Oryctolagus cuniculus: one gene and its partners. The protein of the gene in region 2 binds, or shares a complex with, the protein of the main gene of each other region. Links are inferred from orthologs where the notes say so. Each region holds a gene or a part of one and is shown on either strand. Other genes may lie near its edges.

The links.
Region 1: EIF3J (region 2) and EIF3F share a complex: the UniProt entries of both Homo sapiens proteins name them as parts of the eukaryotic translation initiation factor 3 (eIF-3) complex. The link is inferred for Oryctolagus cuniculus from reciprocal best matches to the Homo sapiens genes EIF3J and EIF3F.
Region 3: the proteins of EIF3J (region 2) and EIF3B are in contact, whole or in part, in an NMR structure (PDB 2KRB), measured with the Homo sapiens proteins. The link is inferred for Oryctolagus cuniculus from reciprocal best matches to the Homo sapiens genes EIF3J and EIF3B. Residues at the interface, in NP_003749.2 of Homo sapiens: Asp45, Glu46, Asp50, Asn51, Trp52, Asp53, Asp54, Asp55; in NP_001032360.1 of Homo sapiens: Lys202, Asn205, Val206, Ile207, Lys209, Ile210, Lys213, Asn249, Ala250, Asp251, Gly252, Tyr253, Lys254, Leu255, Phe261.

Annotation. Positions count from the first base shown.
Region 1 is NC_091432.1:58,226,917-58,230,661, forward strand, and holds the start of EIF3F (eukaryotic translation initiation factor 3 subunit F), read right to left. Parts: upstream 2,246-3,745; 5' UTR 2,227-2,245; coding exon 1,842-2,226; intron 1-1,841. UniProt on the Homo sapiens protein: Component of the eukaryotic translation initiation factor 3 (eIF-3) complex, which is required for several steps in the initiation of protein synthesis.
Region 2 is NC_091443.1:67,490,342-67,493,986, reverse strand, and holds part of EIF3J (eukaryotic translation initiation factor 3 subunit J), read right to left. Parts: intron 3,581-3,645; coding exon 3,466-3,580; intron 1-3,465. UniProt on the Homo sapiens protein: Component of the eukaryotic translation initiation factor 3 (eIF-3) complex, which is required for several steps in the initiation of protein synthesis.
Region 3 is NC_091450.1:37,175,531-37,179,275, forward strand, and holds the start of EIF3B (eukaryotic translation initiation factor 3 subunit B), read left to right. Parts: upstream 1-1,019; 5' UTR 1,020-1,094; coding exon 1,095-1,509; intron 1,510-3,745.

The DNA of each region.
Region 1 (3,745 bases), on a different chromosome or scaffold from region 2:
AGGCTCTCACCCATCACAGATGCTTTAATGCCCAGCTCAAGTGTCCTATTTTCTGTGACGGTTTCCCCAACTTTCTGAAACACTTATGTCTTCAGCATTTCCACACTATAACAAGTTTCTATTAGAGCACTTACACACTGTATTCATGTGTGTTTCTATCTTCAGCTTAAGGTTACAGTAGATTACATTTCATGTTCCAATGTCTGAGAAAACTGTTAAGTTCCCACTGAAAAAAATCTATGCTTCATGACAGGCAGAGTTAGACAGTGAGAGAGAGACAGAAAGGTCTTCCTTCCGTTGGTTCACCCCCCAAATGGCTGCTAAGACCGGCGTGCTGCGCTGATCCGAAGCCAGGAGCCAGGTGCTTCTCCTGGTCTCCCATGGGGTGCAGGGCCCAAGCACTTGGGCCATCCACCACTGCACTCCCGGGCCACAGCAGAGAGCTGGACTGGAAGAGGAGCAACCAGGACAGAATCCGGAGCCCCAGCAGGGACTAGAACCCAGGGTGCTGGCGCTGCAGGTGAAGGATTAGCCAAGTGAGCCGTGGCACTGGCTGCTTCATTCTTCTAAGCTCTGCCTCTATCACATGGGGAGCCCTGGACCCTGAGCCCAGTCTGCTGAGGATCTGAGGATCGAGATTACAGCCAGTCTGAAGGTGGTTACTCTAACATGTGGGCCACTAAGCATAAGCCTTGGGTAGAGAATCATTTCCTTAAATAACTTAAGAAATGGCCATGTTTAGAAGATAATGAATGAATCAATTTAGGTTTCTGTAAAACGCTATACCATCAAAGATACATTCAGAATGTGTGTTTTAGGGGCGGTGTGGAACCGACATAGTGGATGCAAACGGCTGTGTGTAATGGTGTGCCAGCAAAGTTAGATAATTTAGAATAATTTGGTTCTTCAAAAAGGAATTAAATTAGGTAATTTTCTCCAAGGCACATGGGTAATATTTGGTAGAGTTTGCCTACAAATCTTATCCTCTTTGTAATACACCAACTGTATTGTACAGTGTGAGGAGCATTACATGGTGAAGGGTAAGAATAAGAAATGATGCATGTGAAGTAAATTCACAGCAGTGCAGCAAACCCATTACAGAGTGGAAATGAACTGGATGGGACCAGTGGCCCCTGGGGAAAAGACATTTATTATCAACAATCCCTTGTTAAGGCTTTTCCGTCTTACAAACTCACTTTAACAAAAAATACCTACTCCTCCAATTGGGAATACAGGCAGGGAATGACTACTTAAATGCAAAATTAGAGACAGCACTGAGGAATAAGATTTCTCAAACTAGGAACCAGTCTTCCGGGAGACTGAGGGCTAGAGGATCAGGCTCAGAAAAGCAAAATCTTATTCCTAAGTGGGCTCCAGCAAAAGTAGTTTACTTGTTGGAAGAGAAATATTTTCACAGAACTCCTATTCCTTTAACAAACGGTTAGAAAACTCGTTGCAAACTCCTGAAAAACAAAGACATCTGGCCCGTGGTTAGGAGACAAATACGGGGCCATCCGGTTAGGGAGTCAAGCGTTCTCGATCTCATACCCGGCACCGAGCTCATTTTTAGGCGGAGTGGGGAGAATGACACCTGATGCGTTAAGGTTAAAAATGATGTCTATGCAATACACGGCAACTACTGTATTTCACATGTCGTTCCAAGCGGGTACCACCGGCAAGAGGGGGAGGAGGCGGTCAAGCCCCCTGGGGGCGGAGAAGCAGTGAGGGGTCGACGGTGACGGGAGCAGAGGGAAGAGGGACGCCAGACTGAAGGGAGGCGATCCGCGAGCGACAGACACAAGAGGTGACGGGGACAGGAACGATTTCCTCTGAGCACTCACCCAGCAGGGTCCCGATCACTCGGGCAGCGCCTTCGTTGCGTCTCTCGTAACTGTCTACGATGGAGGCCAAAATGACCGGGTGCAGCCTGACCACGCGGCCGCCGGGGAAGGGCCCTGGCAGCGCGGGACCAGGCAGCGAGGGCGCCGAGGTCTGCGCGGGGGCTTGTGCGGAGGCCGGGGTCTGGCCCGTACCCGCAGCCGCCGCCGCCGCCGCAGGGTCTGCGGCTGCGGCCGGAGCCGCTCCCGCGGCAGGAGCTGCAGCCGGCGCTGGAGCCGGCGTTGGCGCTGGCGCCGCGGCCGGGGCGGAGGCTGGAGCGGCAGCTGCAGCCGGGGTTGCGGCTGGAGTGGCAGGAGGCGCACTCGCGGAGACTGCTGGGGTGGCCATCTTGTCGAGAAAGAAGGAGCATGAGCGCTAGGGAAAGAGTTGTTGAGTACTAGCCGTTCCATAGGCTGAATATACATCACGTGAACTACTCCTTGGTGCCTATTGGTTATTGATGACACTTTTCGGGACGCTAATAGGTGCTGGTGCTTGTAATTTCTTCCGGAGTTTGTGCTCTTTGCTTCCGGTTCGGCGCGCACTGAGTGAGACCCGGGGTAAAAAGTTCCGAATCATTCTGAGTCGGCGTTCGGAGAGAAATTAAATGCAACCTTCGGCGTTGCCGCCAGGTGGAGCTAGTGAGCAGCGCAAAGGCCGCAATTTGTGTTTAGACTTACATGGGATGGTGGTTGCCCAAAGTACATTTTAAGAGGTTTTTGGAGCAGGCGTTTGGTCAGACAGACAAGACGTCGCTTCTCATTGCTTACAGCCCACAGCCCACATAGGAGAACGGGTCCGAGTCTCGCTCCCTTCTTGCTTCCTCTGAAGGTGGCAGATGTAGTAGTTCTAGGTCCTTGCTACCCACGTGGGAGATCAGGATGAAGTTTTGTGCTCCTGGCTTCTGCCGAGCTGAGGCCTGACTGTTGTGAGAATTTTGGAGTGAACCAGAGGGTGGAAGTTCTGTCTTCGTATGCCTTTCAAATACAATAAAAATAAATGAAAAATTTAAAAGGACTTTGGTTTTGACAGTGTCTTAAAGTGCCAGTAAGTTAATTAATTCAATAAGCCGATTGCCTGATTGCAGTACATTGAGCTCCATAGAGAACAGCACGATGGCAAGTGAGAGCAGGACTGGCACTGAGGGACTCTGTGACTCGCTGAGGAAAAATAAATAAATAGGGGCAGAGGAGATGCTAAGAAGCCTCGAGGTAAAATGTCATCACATGTTGTAAGTGCTCAGGGAAATGGAAGACCATGTCTCCTTAAGAGAAGGGAAACTAAAAAAAAAGGGGTGGGGGGGAGGGCTGCGCTGTAGCACAGTGGGTTAACGCCCTGGCCTGAAGCACCTGGCTGCTCCACTTGCAAACCAGCTCTCTGCTGTGGCCTGGGAAAGCAGTGGGGGATGGCCCAAGTCCTTGGGCCCCTGCACCCACGTGGGAGGCCTGGAGGAAGCTCCTGGTTCCTGGCTTCAGATTGGTGCAGCTCCGGCTGTTGCGGCCAACTGGGGAGTGAACCAGTGGATGGAAGACCTCTCTCTCTCTCTCTGCCTCTTCTCTCTCTGTGTAACTCTGACTTTCAAATAAATAAATAAATCTTAAAAAAAAAAAGAGAGAGAGAAGGGAAACTGTGAAGACATGGCAAAGGTGGACAAGGCTTGGGGCCCGTGCTGTGGCAAAGTGAGTAAAATCCGCTGCCTGAGGTGCCAACATCCCGTATGGCTACCACCTCCAGTCCTGGCTGCTCCACTTTGGATCCAGCTCTCTGCTAACGAGCTTGGGAAAGCGGCAGAGGATGGCCCAAGCCGTTGGGCCCCTGCACCCATGAAGGAAACCCAGAAGAAGCTCCTGTCTGGCTTTGGACTGGC
Region 2 (3,645 bases):
CTGCAGACAGTGTCTTTACCCAGTACGCCACAGCACTGGCCCCCTGGCTCCACTTCTAATCTAGTTTTCTGCTACTGTGAATCCTGAAAAGGCAACAGGTTCAAGTGCTTGGGATTCCTGCCACCCACATGGAGATAAACACTGAGTTCCTGGTTCCTGGCCTTGGCCTGATGCAGACTCAGCTGTTATAGGCATTTGGGAATGAATCAGCAGATGGAAGATCTCCTACTGCCATGCAAATATAAAGGAAAAATTTTTAATTAAAATATGTATTTTAGGAAGAGGTCCACAGGTTTTATCAGCTGCTAAAGGCATCCATATCATGAAAAGGATGCTCTCATGAAAAGGCTATCCAAGAATAACCCACAATAAATTGGGGAGACAAGGGAATAAGGCATAGGAAACAAAGATGGATTCTGTAAAAATATTCAGTTCACTAAATCCAGAAGCTCAGCCGTTAAGGTTCCTTTGGGACACCCATAGCCCATACTGGCATGCCTGGTTCTGGCACACTTCCAACCAAGCTTCCTGTGAACATGCATCCTGGGAGGCGGCAGGTAATGGCTCAAGTACAGGGGTACCTGCCACCCAAATGAGAAATGCATACTGAGCTTCAGTCTCCTGGCTTCAACCTGCCCCCGCTCTGGCTATTGCTGGCATTTGGAGAGTAAACTAGCAGATAGAAGATCTGTCTCCTTGTCTGCCTATCAAATAAAATGAAAATAAATTCCAAGACATTTTAATAAATGTAGAAGCTAAGCAGGGGCAAACCATGTGGTAAATACCAATAGAAAAATTAATCTACCTAAAAGAATTTCAGTCTCGGGGATAAGTATGCTTTCCATCCTTCTCAGTACCTAGAAAATTAGTTGTTGTTAATACCACAGATTCAGAATTTCAGTATGAGAGAATGAACAGTAGAATCCGGTAAGCCAAAGACAATGAGTGTATATTGATTTTACCTTTTAATCTGAAGCTGATGTCTCACACTTAAGTTTTCTGTACACTGCATAAACCTACCTCTTTAAGGGCAGTTCTCACCATCCTATAAAAACACATAATGGCTGAGTGCCCTCTAGAATTAGATGAACACACTGAAGACCTGCCAAGCATACGCTGGTACACAGGAGCATCCACAACGCTTGAGGTTGCTAAAGCCCCACTGACGGGAGACTCAGAAGAAGCTTCTGGCTCCTGGCTGTGGAACAGCCCAGCTCCAGCCATTGCGGCCATTTAGGGAGTGAACCAACAGATCAAAGATCTCTTTCTCTATCCTTTTCTCTAACACTGCCTTTCAAATAAATAAATCATAAAAACGGAACAATCACAACAGTCAGCCTGCTTGATCCATTTTAGATAAGACAAAGGATAGGGGAGAAAGAATAAGCAGATCTTTCTTATATAGACTTCAATTTCAAGGATTTTTTTTTAAAGATTTATTTATTTATTTGAAAGAGTTACACAGAGAGACAAAGAGAGAGGTCCTCCATCTGATGGTTCACTCCCCAGATGGCTGCAACAGCTGGCACTGTGCTCATCCAAAGCCAGGAGCCTGGAGCTTCTTCCAGGTCTCCTATGCAGGTGCAGGGGCCCAAACACTTGGGCCATCTTCTACTGCTTTCCCAGGCCATAGCAGAGAGCTGGATTGGAAGTGGGGCAGCCAGGTCTCAAACTGGTACCTATAGAGGATGCCAGCACTCAGGCCAGGGCTTTAACCCGCTGTGCCACAGCACCGGCCCCTCAAGGTTTTTAATTTCAGCAATATTCTATTCTGGGGCTAGCATTGTGGTGCAGTGGGTTAACATCATCTATAACACTGGCATCCTGAATGAGCAACGATTAGAGTCCCGGCTGCTCCCTACTAATGCACCTGGGAAAGCAGTGGAAGACGGCTCAAGTGCTTGGGCCCCTGCATTCATTTTGGAGACCCCGAAGAAGCTCCTTGTTTGAGCCCGGCCCAGCCTTGGCCACTGCAGCCATCTGGGGAATGAACAAGCAGATGGAAGGTCCATCCATCCATCTCTCTGTCTCCCTCTAACTCTGCCTTTCAAACAAATAAATAAATCTTTCAAAAACTTTACAAACTTCTCTGAAAAGCATTCAGTAAGTAACAACGTCAATAAACTTTTGTTCAGCTCGGGCCATGTCTACCTTCTGTGCCATGGAACTCTCCCCCCTGGAGCATTCTGAATGTATTTATTTATAGGACCTACAGGTTTCTTTTATCTCATGCACTAACCACTGCTGCAGGTACAATATAGAAATGGAGGTCCTCTAAAGATATATGCCATGGTGAGAGCCAAAAGGGTCATAGAAAGAAACCATCCTGAGCACAAGACACAGCCAAACTGAGTGCCCTAGCTGTGGTCTAAGTCTCTTAAGGCAACAGGAGAGCCCTACAGTCAGTTCAGTATTTAAATTTCAAGGCCACAAAAAAAAAAAAAAAAAAAAAAAAAATTCAAGGCCACAAACCTTGCAATTCATCCAAATCTCATTCAGCTGATGAATATATTCTATTAGGAAGTGTGGAGGCTGGCACTGTAGTGTAGTAAGTAAAGCCACTGCCTGCAGTGCCAGCATCCCATATGGGTGCTGGTTTGAGTCCTGGCTGCTCCACTTCCAATCCAGCTCTCTGCTATAGCCTAGGAAAGCAGTACAAGATGGCCAAGTGCTTGGGCCTCTGCAACCACGTGGGAGATCCAGAGGAAGCTCCTGATCCCTGGCTTTGGATTGGCCCGGCTCCCCCCATTGTGGCCATTTGGGGAGTGAACCAGCATATGGAAGATCTTGGTCTTTCTCTCTCTCTGCCTCTAATTCTGGCCTTCAAATAAATAAATCTTAAGGAAAAAAAAATGTGCTTTGAGTCCATCGACTTTTTCTATCTTAATCTGTTTTGAAACTCAAAACAATTATTCAAAAGTCTGAACACATACCCTACTCTACCTTCTCAAGTAATGAAGTCTCAAACATACAGAAAGAGATTAAAAACTGCTTTCTAATACCTAAATTAGCTACTACTGTTTTCTTTAAAAAAAAAAAAAAAAAAGTAGATGTTTTCAGGGCCGGTGCCGTGGCATAGCAGGTAAAGCTGCTGCCTGCAGTGCTGGCATCCCATCCTGGCTGCTCCACTTTCCATCTAGCTCTCTGCTATGGCCTGGGAAAGCAGAAGATGGCCCAAGTCTTTGGGCCCCTGCACCCACATGGGAGACCTGGAAGAAGCTTCTGGCTCCTACCTTTGGATTGGCTCAGCTCCTGCCGTTGCAGCCATCTGGGGAGTGAACCAGCAGATGGAACACTTTTCTTTCTGTCTCTCTACCTCTGCCTCTCTAATAAATAAATAAATCTTAAAAAAAAAAAAATTTTTTTTTCTTCGTAACTAGTAAAACTTCTGGAATTTCCATGTGGAACAGTTTAATACTGCACTAATCTGTACCCTCATCATTTTTTTTTGCACCCTCAACTTACCAAAAGTTTCTTTTGCTAATTCAAGGTCTGACTCTTCCTGTAATTTCTTTAGCCGCAGTTTATCTGCTAATTGTTCTTCTGGTGTTAGCACTTTGGGTTCTTCTGGTTCTTCTAACTAAAAGGAGACAGAAAAGTTTTAAAAGAGCTGAATTATGATGGACCCAGTACACTGTCGTATTG
Region 3 (3,745 bases), on a different chromosome or scaffold from region 2:
TCACGCTCCTCTCCCTACAGCCCGCGGCAGCCCCCTGGTTCCTCCACTGCCTTCACGGGCCATAGCAGAGAGCGGGATCGGAAGTGGAGCAGCCGGGGCTCGAACCGGCGCCCACCTGGGATGCCGGCGCGGCAGACCAGGGCGTTGACCCGCTGCGCCACAGCGCCGGCCCCAAGCCCCTGGTTCCTAAAGAAGACGACGGGAACACGCCCAAGAGCGGCAGCCTCCGAGGCCGGCGACTCGGGACCTTCGCACGGCCTCCCCGCCGCCGCGTCGCTCCGCCCGCGCCCACGTGACCCGCGCTCTCCCGCCTCCGCCGGGCCGAACCACTGCGGCCGCGGGCGGGGGGGGGGCGGCGACCGGCGGCTTGGCCAGCGGCACGGCGGGGCCGGGCAGGCGATTAAAGCAGCTGCCGGACGCTTCTGTGTTGCGCCCGGCAGTCGTCTTTCCAGAAGCGCCGGCCACCTCTGGCTCGCCGTGGGCTCCCTGAGTATTTCGGAGTGGCCGGCTCTGCTGTCCAGTCAGTGGACGAGTCTAAAAAGCCGATTCGTAAAGGGGGAGTTCAGTGATGGAAGCTGAACGGTTTGTCTGGTCAAAGACTGAGACGGCCTCAGCATCACTGCTTGATGAGCTGACAGTCTCCCACGGTGTTCATTTTCCAGTTCAGAGTCTGTCTTGATCCATGCCGCGGTCGGCCCCGCAGGTAGTTCAGTCCATCGCGTAGCGCCCGACGGGAGAAGGCAGGGAGCGGCTGCCATATTGGACGTGACCATTCGCTACGACAAATGGGGGGAGTAGCAGCTCCCAATGGGTTTATAGGTTGCCGAAACGACTTTGGTCTTTGCAGCTGAGCATCTTTCAGTCACAGCCACATCGGCGCCATTCATTCTAGACGCACTTCTGCGGATTCGGTGTCTTCCGGACTCGGCGAGGCGAATCGGGGCGTTGTGCTCGCCCCCCCCGGCCCCGGTGCTTTGGTGCGGCCTCCCGGGCGCACGCACGTGGCTCGGCGCTCGCCGGCGCGGCGCGCGGGGCGGCCTGGGAGTGTCGGCGGCGCGGCGGCGGCGGAGCTCGTGAGGCGCGGCGTCGGGCTCATGCAGGACGCGGAGAACGTGGCGCTGCCGGAGGCGGCCGAGGAGCGGGCCGAGCCCGGGCAGCAGCAGCAGCAGCAGCCGGGGGCTGAGCCGCCGCCCGAGGAGGAGCCGCCGCGGCCCGCGGGGGCCGAGGACGCCGCCGCGGAAGCGGCCGCGGAGGCCGGGCCGGAGCCCGACGTGAGGGCCGAGCCGGCCGAGGCGCAGGAGGCCGCGTCCAGCCCGGCCGAGCCCCCCGCAACGCTCCCCGCCGAGCAGGGCGAGGCCCCGCGGGAGCAGGCCCGGGACGAGCCGGCCCCGGCGTCCGAGGCGGAGGGCAGCGCGGCCGAGGCCGAGCCGCGGGCGGTGGAGAACGGCGACGCGGACGAGCCGTCGTTCAGCGACCCCGAGGACTTCGTGGACGACGTGAGCGAGGAAGGTGAGGGGTCGCCGGCGGCCTGCGGGCGCTCCGGCCAGGGCCGGGGGGCCCGGAAGTGCCCGCCTCCCGGCGAGCCCCGGCCGGCCCGCCGCGGCTTCCGATCCGGACGGCCCGGGTGCCCGCCCTGGCCCTCGCGCCCCTGGGCCCTCGCGCGGCCTCCGGGGGTGCCGAGCTGGGTGGGTGGGCTTCCGGCCGCGGAGCAGGTGGGAGCGCCGGCCGGGGCGGCTGGAAGCGGCTGTTCCGGCCGCGGTACCAGCAGAAACAGGGCTTCCGGCCGCTCTCCCGCCCCCAGTGCCTGAAAGCCGGGCCGGGCCGGGCCGGGCGCTGCGTCCTGGCCTCCGAGATGCGCGCAGGGCCCACGCGCGGGGCTCAGCTCCGCGGCCTCCCGGGCGGGATGCGGGGCTCCGGCTGGCAGCGCCGAGGGGCGGCCCCGAGAGCCCCGAGCCGACGCGGTGTGAAGGCACAGCCGGTGTTGCTGCCCTCCTGCCTGGGCCAGCGTTGGTTTGTAACCTGCGTTCTTTCTAGCGCAGCGATTTTTCTCATTTTAAAATTCAAGGTTTGGGTTTAAAGCTCATTTTGACCCTTGGGTGTTCGCATGGGAAGAGCCCATGTAATGGTCAGGGGGTTCTGCCCCGAGGGGGTGCGGGGCAGTCAGGAGCCGTACCGGGGCGCCTGCGTGGCCCCGAGGTGCGCGCGTTCCACGGAGGGCGTGGCCGCTCCCGCGCTGTGGGTCCGGGTGAAGGGCCGCCCGGCGGGGTCTTTGCCGCAGTGGGCCGAGTGCGGGGCCGGCTCGGGCGCTCGCGCCGCGCGGTGCCTCTGCTGTCAGCCTCACCCGCATCCCGCGTGGGCACCGGGTTGGGTCCTGGCTGTTCCATTTCCTGTCCGATTCCCCGCCGATGGCCTGGGAAAAGCAGCGGAAGGTGGTCCGAGCGCTGGGCCCTGCACCCACGTGGGAGACGGGGAGAAACTCCTGGCTTCCGCGCGGCCGGCCCTGGCTGTGCTGCCCCAGGGAGTGCGCAGCGGATGGAGGACCTCCCGCTCGCTGACTTTCAAACACACACATCTGTAAACCTCGTTTAAGCGTCAGACGTTGCTTCGGGTCTGGCTCCCGAAGCATTGCTGGTGGTTTTGCGACTTGTCTCTGCTGCTCCTGGGCCAGGCTGGGAATCCCCGAGCCGGGAGTGACCCCTGCTGGGCCGGCGTGCGATTGAGTGAATTCGTTGGTCCTTCCCGGGCCTGGGCAGATCCTTGCCGCCTGGTTGCACTGAGCACCTGCGGGACGGCTGCTGGCTCTCTGTTGTAAACCTTGTAAATTCGGATCAGGCTCGGCAGGGTTTGCTTGGACGCTGAGCGTGTTTTACAAGTGACCCGAGCGGCCTGGTGCCTGCAGCGAGGGTGCCTCTCTGCTTGGTCTCAGTTTTGGCTCTTCTTGAAAGGCAGAGAAATACAAAAACTTTCGTCTGCCAGTTCACTCCACAAATACCCAAAGTAGCGGGGGCTCAACCGGGACTGGGCTAGGGCGTAGCCAGGACTGGAACTCAGTGCAGGTCCCCTGGGTGGGTGGCAGGGATCCCGCCTCCTGGGCCGGCGCTGCCCCCCCCCCCCCCCCCCCGGGACGCACACGAGCAGAAAGCTGGAATCGGAAGCAGAGCCAGGACTTGAACCCAGGCGCTCTGACGTGGGGTGCGGCTTTCCAAGCTGTGTCTCGCCCGTCCCAGTCTTGGCGTCTTGGAAATTCAGTCTGCAGGGGCCAGTGCTGCGGGCGCAGCAGGTTAAGCCTCTGCTTGTGGCACCAGCGCCCTTGAGTCCCGGCCGCTCCACTTCCCATCCAGCTCTCTGCTGTGGCCTGGGAAAGCAGTGGAGGACGGCCCAAGTGCTTGGGCCCTGCACCCGCATGGGAGACCCGGAAGAAGCTCCTGGTTTCCGGCTCTGGATCGGCGCAGCTCCAGGCCTTGTCGCCATTTGCAATGAGCCAGCGGATGGAAGGCCTTCTTGCTCGCTCGCTCTCATTTTGCCTGTTGAATACATAAAACCTTTAAAAGAAATTCAATTTATAGTTTTTTAAGGTGATATTTTTACTGTCATTCGTAAAAGTGTTGGTGTTAATTAGAAATGGTTTATGATGGCCCTTTCCTTGGAATTAGAAGATCTTCCTCCTCTGGAAAGACCTTCATATGTTTTACTATGAAAATTTCAAACCTATACTCCACTTTTGTTTTTTAAGATTTATTTATTT